Linked DNA regions of Oryzias latipes. The protein of the gene in region 2 interacts with the protein of the main gene of each other region in a pairwise test. Links are inferred from orthologs where the notes say so. Each region holds a gene or a part of one and is shown on either strand. Other genes may lie near its edges.

The links.
Region 1: the proteins of ryanodine receptor 2 (region 2) and fkbp1b interact in binary tests that used the Homo sapiens proteins (3 or more experiments, as listed by UniProt). The link is inferred for Oryzias latipes from reciprocal best matches to the Homo sapiens genes RYR2 and FKBP1B.

Annotation. Positions count from the first base shown.
Region 1 is NC_019882.2:3,010,058-3,014,317, reverse strand, and holds the start of fkbp1b (peptidyl-prolyl cis-trans isomerase FKBP1B), read right to left. Parts: upstream 2,888-4,260; 5' UTR 2,741-2,887; coding exon 2,704-2,740; intron 2,246-2,703; coding exon 2,198-2,245; intron 1-2,197. UniProt on the Homo sapiens protein: Has the potential to contribute to the immunosuppressive and toxic effects of FK506 and rapamycin. PPIases accelerate the folding of proteins. It catalyzes the cis-trans isomerization of proline imidic peptide bonds in oligopeptides.
Region 2 is NC_019877.2:17,236,788-17,240,427, forward strand, and holds part of ryanodine receptor 2, read right to left. Parts: intron 3,640-3,640; coding exon 3,469-3,639; intron 2,859-3,468; coding exon 2,695-2,858; intron 1,981-2,694; coding exon 1,866-1,980; intron 1,789-1,865; coding exon 1,628-1,788; intron 1,530-1,627; coding exon 1,367-1,529; intron 1-1,366. UniProt on the Homo sapiens protein: Cytosolic calcium-activated calcium channel that mediates the release of Ca(2+) from the sarcoplasmic reticulum into the cytosol and thereby plays a key role in triggering cardiac muscle contraction. Aberrant channel activation can lead to cardiac arrhythmia.

The sequences.
Region 1 (4,260 bases), on a different chromosome or scaffold from region 2:
CCGTAGGGCGGGAGCAACGCTTCGCCACGCTGGGTTATTTTTACCTCCTTGTCTACTGTATTCCCTTCTGCTCCTCGTCTGCCAGCAGATTCCCCCCCAGGCATGAGCGTGAAGGAAATGGGATCTAGGGAAAGTCATCTTTCTGCCAGGCTTGTGTGTGATGCTGCGTCTCACAGCTGCAGAAAGCAGGTCCTAATCAGTCTGGATTTAAGGCTAAGTGGGAGAAGAAGTGTTTGGGAAACCACAAAAATAATCCTAGTCTGTCAATAATCCAGAAAAACTAAAATAATCTGAGGCTCATCTAATAATTGTGTAATAAAAAATTTGATTTTGTATCTTATCTGCCAGGCTGCATGGAGAAACCCCCAAAGAGCCTGTTGAGGAGCCCTAATCCCGGTTTGGGGTTTTGCATCAGTTTAACTCTAATCCTGAAGCAGAACCATGCAGCGAACACCAGCGACAGGAAAAGAAACCCGTCAAGTCCTGACATTCGGTGCTTCTATTTCTGGGTCACACATCTAGAGGCCTCAACTTCAGCATGTTTCCTGTTGAACTTCGGAGCGCCGGTCCGCGGCGAGCAGCTTGAGACGGCAGAAGTGCAGCTGTCAGAGCTGCCACTCAGCCAACGCATGCAGACGACGAGCCCAGGAGCTGCGCACAAGTCCTGCAGCAACCCCAAACTATGGGGGGAATCTATCAAATCCAAGAGATTAGGATTAAAGACATTCAAATCCTACAGGATTTCAGTTTAACTGAAGCAAGCTAATGGAGGCCCGCTCATTTCCCAGCATTCCCTGCAGTTTGATGCTTCTATAAATTGGTTTTTTCTAGCTACTGATTTAAAAACTTTTTGCAGAAAATGTGGATATAAATCAGAATACATGCTTGTTTCCATTCCTAATTTATACGAATATGCTTGTTTTGAACAAAAATGTCGTCATGCAAATTTTAAATTCTATGAGTTTTCTGTGTTATATAAAAACTGATCCATTTTTGTGTGCTTGGTTGCTTGTTTTTAATTGAAATTCCCCAACAATGGACCAAAAAGGCGGATGCCCCCGTTCCATCCATCCCAATACGACAACAAACAAAAAGAGCTACACAACTGAAACAACGGTTTTTCCACATCCGATTTCAAACAAGAGATCATTGAATTCTTTAGCTAACCCTTTACTTTCCAATTATTTTTACAGAATATATTTTAACAATTTCTTCAGCCTAATTCTGAATTTTGCTATTATTACCCCTAAAAAAATAAAACAAGAGACCGCTTAAAACAGACCCCTAAAAATACGACCAAAAAAAACTTTTATTTTATGTTTTCCCTTAGAATCAAATAAAAAAATGCACCAAAAAAAAAGTGAAACAGAAAGGCTTAATCCTTTCAGTCCTATAACCGCTGAGACCTTTTCTGACCTGATGTTCACTCTAGTCGATTACTACTCTCAACTCCCAGTCTAGAACAAAAAAAACAAATGATGAAGATCATGTGAATCCTAAAAACAAGGCCCAGAGAGACAAACGGATTAAATGCTGACATAATCTGAGATGTTATAACAGTTTCTTACTGCAGCCGCTCAATCCCAGCTCATTTCTGTGGTCACATCAGCTGATTTTCAAGCCATAAGAAAAAAGTTTTACCGATCCAAATCAGCTCCTAAACATACCAGACATGCAGAAAGCATTTGCATCCCCAAAACAGAAAGTCTTACCTAAATGATCAGATGGTTGACACATGTCCTGCAAACTGGGTTTTGTTTACTTTCAGTCTGACCTAGTTGCCTGCGCTGCCTAACCCTATAGGGGACAGACTATCTATGTCGGATTAGATGCCCTTAAGGTGCAAATGAAACCATTTTTTTAACTATTGTATTGCTAATAAAAATTCTCAACATCTTTTTATGTAAATATGGTAACATTTCGTGAAACCACAGGAGTATTTGACACGCATCCAGTTGCAATTTCCAATGCAGGTGTTTCCAACAGGCGTTACATTTAAATATGTCTAAATAGACCCATGCTGCTGGAAAAGTCTGGACTCATTGTGAGAGCAGACTACAGCGAGGTTGTGCTGCAGATATTATTCTAAGGAGGGCAAAATGAAATCAGATTTCCCTCCTCCAGCGTGGAGACAGGAAGGATGTCTGAATTCAGGATGGCTAGAAGATGAAGAGAGAGAAAAGGAGCAAGCAGTTACCTATGTAATGAACCACGCATGTTTGGCCTTTCTTTGGAAATGTTCGTCCTGTTAAAAGAAAAAAAATAACAAAAGTTATTGTTTGAATGTTTCTGAATTTCAAAGCACAAATCCTGTTTTTAAGCCTTTAGTCAAAATAAAACAATAGGTTTTTTTATATTCTCAGATTGGAACATGTTTTGTGTTTTCAACTAAATAAACTGCTGTTTTAACAGATAACAAAAGGTCTATACATTTTAATGTTGAAAGTGAACATGTGTGCAGAAATGTTGGAAAAAAGAAGCTTTTTGAATAAAGTTTAATCAAATTCTCTCGCTGAGCATTATGGGAGTTGCGATATTTACCCAAAAATGGCTGTAAATAAAGATTTATCTGCAGTATTTTTACTCTGAAATCCTCTTGTGAACTCTGAATCACATTCCTGAGGAACCGCTGAGCCCCAACACCGCCCTCCGCAGCGCTTCCACCCCGCATCAAACCACAACCAAGCGGGCACATTCACTCACCATCGCCGGGGGATATTGTTTCCACGACCACGCCCATAATTTCAAAAGTACAAAAAAAAAAATGTAATAGCAAAACAGGTTGAAAGACTCCTTCTATAGACAGTTACCCGCTTCAAGTCGGGATTTATGGATGGAAACCATGCATTCACAGACCACCGAGCCGCAGCTTCAGGCAGCCGAGTTATTTTTATCGCGAGATTATGAATTGACTACAACTGCTTCACCGTGATTTTAGACATCCGTAAAATACAGTCAATTTTTTTTTAAAGTTTTTTATTATTACTATTATATTTGTATTGGAAACCTACAGCTACACAGTTACCCCCTTTTATGCTTTTTTAAATTTTTATATTTTTATAAGGGAGAGAGAGAGAAAATAAGGCGTACTTTCAACTACATATCCCATGATGCACCAAAACAACATGTGAGTTTTGTTACCGGGTCATTCCCATAAGAACGACACATTTTTATGAGGGAAACTCAGAGAAGATGATGGGAATTAAACTTTTTAGTTATATTCCGGGTTTGTTGGTGCAGCTGAGATGATATTTTAAGGTAAGAAATCGCGGAAATTCTATCTTTTTAATGTTTCTTCCCCCCGTTAGTAGCTTGTGTTAGCTAGCCTAATGTCTTCTGTTCATAAAATTTATTTAACAAAAACTTAATATAGTAGTATTTACTGTAGTATAAACTGTTTTTTTAATACATTTCCTTTGTATTTCCCTAATTTGAAGTACCTCCCTTTTTTTATTTTTATTTTATTTTATTTTATTTTTTTGTAGCTTAGAAGTAAAGAAAATATATTTGGTTAGGGTGACCCCTTAGCAAAAGTTCATTCATAAGTACTAAAAGTATACTCAGGCAATACTAAGTGAGGCAGTACACTTGAAGTTTAATTTTATATACTACATTGTAAACTTAAAATATTTCAATTTAGACTGAAGACCTTATGTCACAATAGCTAAAAGTAGTAAACTTAAAGTTCACCTTTTAATTTTTATATTTTAATAATACTTGATAGAACGTGTAGTATAGTATACTTCCAACACTACACGTATGTAGTCAACAGAATACTTGCTATACCTCTATGATACTCAAGTATACTTACTAAATGAACTTCAAGTGTACTACTTTTAAGGGATGACCTGGCTAAACGTAGTACACTTGAATTTTACTTCATTGGTATTCTTGGGTATAAACACTTGAATTTTACTTAAACATTGCATATAGACTATGTACATGTGATATACTTATTACACTACGTGTACACAGATAGTACACTTGCTATGATTATACTCACGTGTACTTAGTCAAATAAACTTCAAGTGTGGCACTTTTGTTTTGCTGAGGGACGACCTAAAGTCTTGATGGCTAAAAGTGGTAAATGCCGCCTTGACCCACTCAACAAAAAGGTAATGCCATCAGTTCCTAATTGTGTTTTGTTAAGGTCATCCGGCATAAGCAGCTATAGGTGTTCGTCACCACAGCCTCAGCTCAGGCGGGGGGGGGGATTAAAGCAGGTACTTGGAAGGAGACGCAGGAGAGGCTTTTACTGTT
Region 2 (3,640 bases):
CAGGTAAGTACAATATATTTTTTTCTTTTAATGCTGCAGGGGCTTCATTAATAGTACACATGTTGACATGCATGATGCTGCAGGGCCATTTATCAACATGCTGCATGATGTACGTATAATTTGCTGTCGACATGAATGTAAACTTTATTTTGTTAAACCTGTATACAGTATACTAGGACTAGGCTATTATAGTAATATCGATTTATACATTTCTGACTCAGTGACTGAACTTTTCTTGCAGGTTTCCAATGGATTCAGACTTAAGGAAAAAGCCTTAGCTGTCACAAGAGCTAACCCAGATGGATCACTTTGGTTACCAACTAGTAATACAGTCTGGCTATGTTCAAGAAATTTTGTGGAACCACATTTTGATAAGACTGGCCAAACTGTTGAAACCCGGCACCATACCATCTGTGTTATACCAAATTGATCACTCACATGAATCAGTAAATCTATTGTTTTTCTTGGTTTTTGTTTTTTTTCTTTTTTAGGGTAAATCTGTTTTTGACTTTTGGACTTCTTGTTGACTTATTGATTTATTATTATTATTATTTATTTTTATTTAATTATTGATTCATTGTTATCATTTATTATTATTATTGACTTACTATTGATGTATTATTATTATTATTATTAATTAATTATTATTATTGACTTATTATTGACTTATTGTTGGGCTTTTCTAAATAATTGAAATTACATGTCAAAGAGGTCTAAAACTTCTACATGTTTAAAAATTATTTTAAAAAATTCTTAGTAATAAATATTTTTATTTGTTAGTCCTGCAACTATGCATTTTTCATTAAAGTTTGAGCTTTTAAAGCTGACTGTTTCTCTTATTTACACAACAAAGGATGTATGTGTCTATATAAACTATATACATATATATTATATATTTATATATATGTATAAATGTACATAAATATTAATATATATAAATTATATAAAAGTTACTTAGATGCCACTAAAGGCCATAGAAAGCATTATCATGTGGGCGCCGACGACCTCACCAAGATGGCGTCGCGCTCCGCCACCGTCGGCCAGGCTTCCCAAGCGGGCGTGTCTCCTCTAGGGATATAACTCATTATATAACGTCATTTCTCTGAGTTGGACCAATCCAGGACCCATGGGAAAAGCCCAGATCACCAGATTGGTGTCACCACGGTCCTTCTCTGAAGCCAGGTATGGGGTTGGGCGATGTTAGGGAATCTTTACTTTTTCTTCTCATAAAGGGGTTCTGAACCACTCTTTGTCTGGCTTTTCACCCAAGATCTGTCTGCCATGGCCCTGGAATGGCAAAAGCCCCTGGTAGGGTCATCATTGACATCATTGCCCTAACAGGGCTTACCTGGTCAGGATGGCTTACCTGGAAGTAGGTGCTGAGCTCCTTCCCGTTGGCTGTAAAGCTTAGCAGACCAGTTGTAGTGTCCACCAGACATCCGATCTCTAAGCCGGTATTGTTCCTCCCTTGACCACCAGTGCTGCTGCTCTCTCCAGCCCACACCATGAAGCAGTTGCTGCGCTTTATACTGCAGAACAGGGTGGGTGGGTGGGTGGAGGAGGTTGAAGAGGTGGCATTACTCCGCTCAGTTTCAGGACAATCTCCTAGCTTTCTCATTCTACTCACCTTTCATGAACTTTTCCCTTCTCGTCTCCAAGGGTAACTGTGACAGTTCGGACCTTGTGGAGCTCAAAACCAGGATCGTACTGATGAAAATCAGAGGTCACCCATCCTACCCACACGCTGCTGGGCTCCTGACCCGGAAAGATCCGCACCGAATAGTAGTACTGCAGACAGAGACATGTGGTTATAGCCTTAGGGCTGCAAAAACACTTTCGATTTTTATTTAAAAGCCACTTCCTACCACAGACGTATGCAGGAGAAGCTCATAGCCCTCCCTGTCATCAGACCCCGCCTCCTCAGACAGATGAGCTGATTGATGGCTGCTGCTGTCTGTCTTGTTCCTCTTTAGAAGGAACCTGACAACAACCAAAGTAAAATGTAGTCTTTCACTCTCCAGATGGTGTTTTTTGTGTAAAGATCTCAAAACACAATATCTTGACACCACTATAACCTGACACAAGTTTGGGGAGACTTTTGTCTAAAGTTGTGAATTGTAAGTCTGAATATTTTTTCCAAAAGTCTGAAAAACAATTTTTATGTCTTATCTTTATCTGTTTAAGCAGTGCTGCTTCATTCCCAAAACAGTTTCTTGTCTTCAAAAGGTTCACAAATGAATGAAGAAATGCATCAAGGAGAAAAATAAATCAATAATTGAATCGAAATAGGATAATACCATTTGGATTTATGGTTAGGTTTATTTTACTTTAACATAAAAACCACCAAGTGGATCACAGTGGACAACTTACATGTGATGCCAGCAAAAATAATGAACCATGTCCAAGAAAACAACAGAGTTTTTTACATCTTGGCTAAAAACGACACAATCATAATGAACAGACCACTGGGAATTCTTTTACAATAGATCAACAGATGATTGGAGCAGGACTTTAATGGGTGAGCCAGTGTGTTAATAAGTGTTAATATAGCAACAATGCAGGCACAGTAAACATAAACATTAAGCTGGAGATTTTTTCTTTTTGGTTTCAGCCAGCGATCAGTCTGATCTCCAAAATCTTTTGCATTATAGTGAAACTGCATTGTTTGACATAATTAGATAAATTGCACATTACCTCTGTTTGACCTTGGACGACTTCTCTTGGTTGTAATCTTTGTGGTTGTTAAATTCATCTTTCTCTGGTCCACCAGGAACACTAGGAATGTTGGAAACACTGTGGCCATGGGACGACTTTATCAGGACTTCAAAGTCTGAGACGGTTTCAAAATCATCCAGCTCCTGCAGAAGAACACAAGGAGCTGCATCATGAGCATCATTTGGCTCGGGAAACAAGAGAACATTGGAGATCAGACACTGGAGAAGCCGATGCTACTCAGTTGCTGTTAACTGAAACTGTCCAAACTCTGTCAAAAAAAAAAAAAACCTGGAACAGAAATATGCAAAGATTATCTTCTGTAGAGGAATCAATCTTTTGCTTCAAAAAGAGCAGAAACCCTCTGATGTGAAGAGAGACAAATGTCCACTAAATCAGTGTACAACTACTAATTCAGCCTTTCTTCACTGTCCTAGACCTCTCCTAAAAAGAAACAAAGGTAGCCTACATCTCCCACTGGAGGGTTTGTTCTTCCAACTTTAGTTCTTACTTTTTACAGCAAGAAGCCACAATCTGTCAAAGGTAATTAATGACTGATAATGATCTCAGAATTCATAATGTCCTTCAACAGCTCCTTCCTTTTGACTCAATATTACTTTGAAAGCTTGGCTGTGATAACTGCTTTGGCTATGAGTTGTTACCACCCCATGACATCTCCAGATCCTCATAGGTTGGTAACAACTCCCCTCTTCAGGGAGGGGGGGGAGAACCTTTGATGGTTAGACTCTGGGTTACCTTCTTGGATGAGAAGAGGTTGCCACTGGCTCCAGATCTCCACTCAGCACACTCGATAGGCATGCTGAGTCTGTAGAAGGTGATATCCGTGTGGCTGTTTTGGGAGCCAAATGACCTCTGGGTGACCTTCAAGCAGGGACAACATTCCACTGTCCCATCGATTCTGGATACC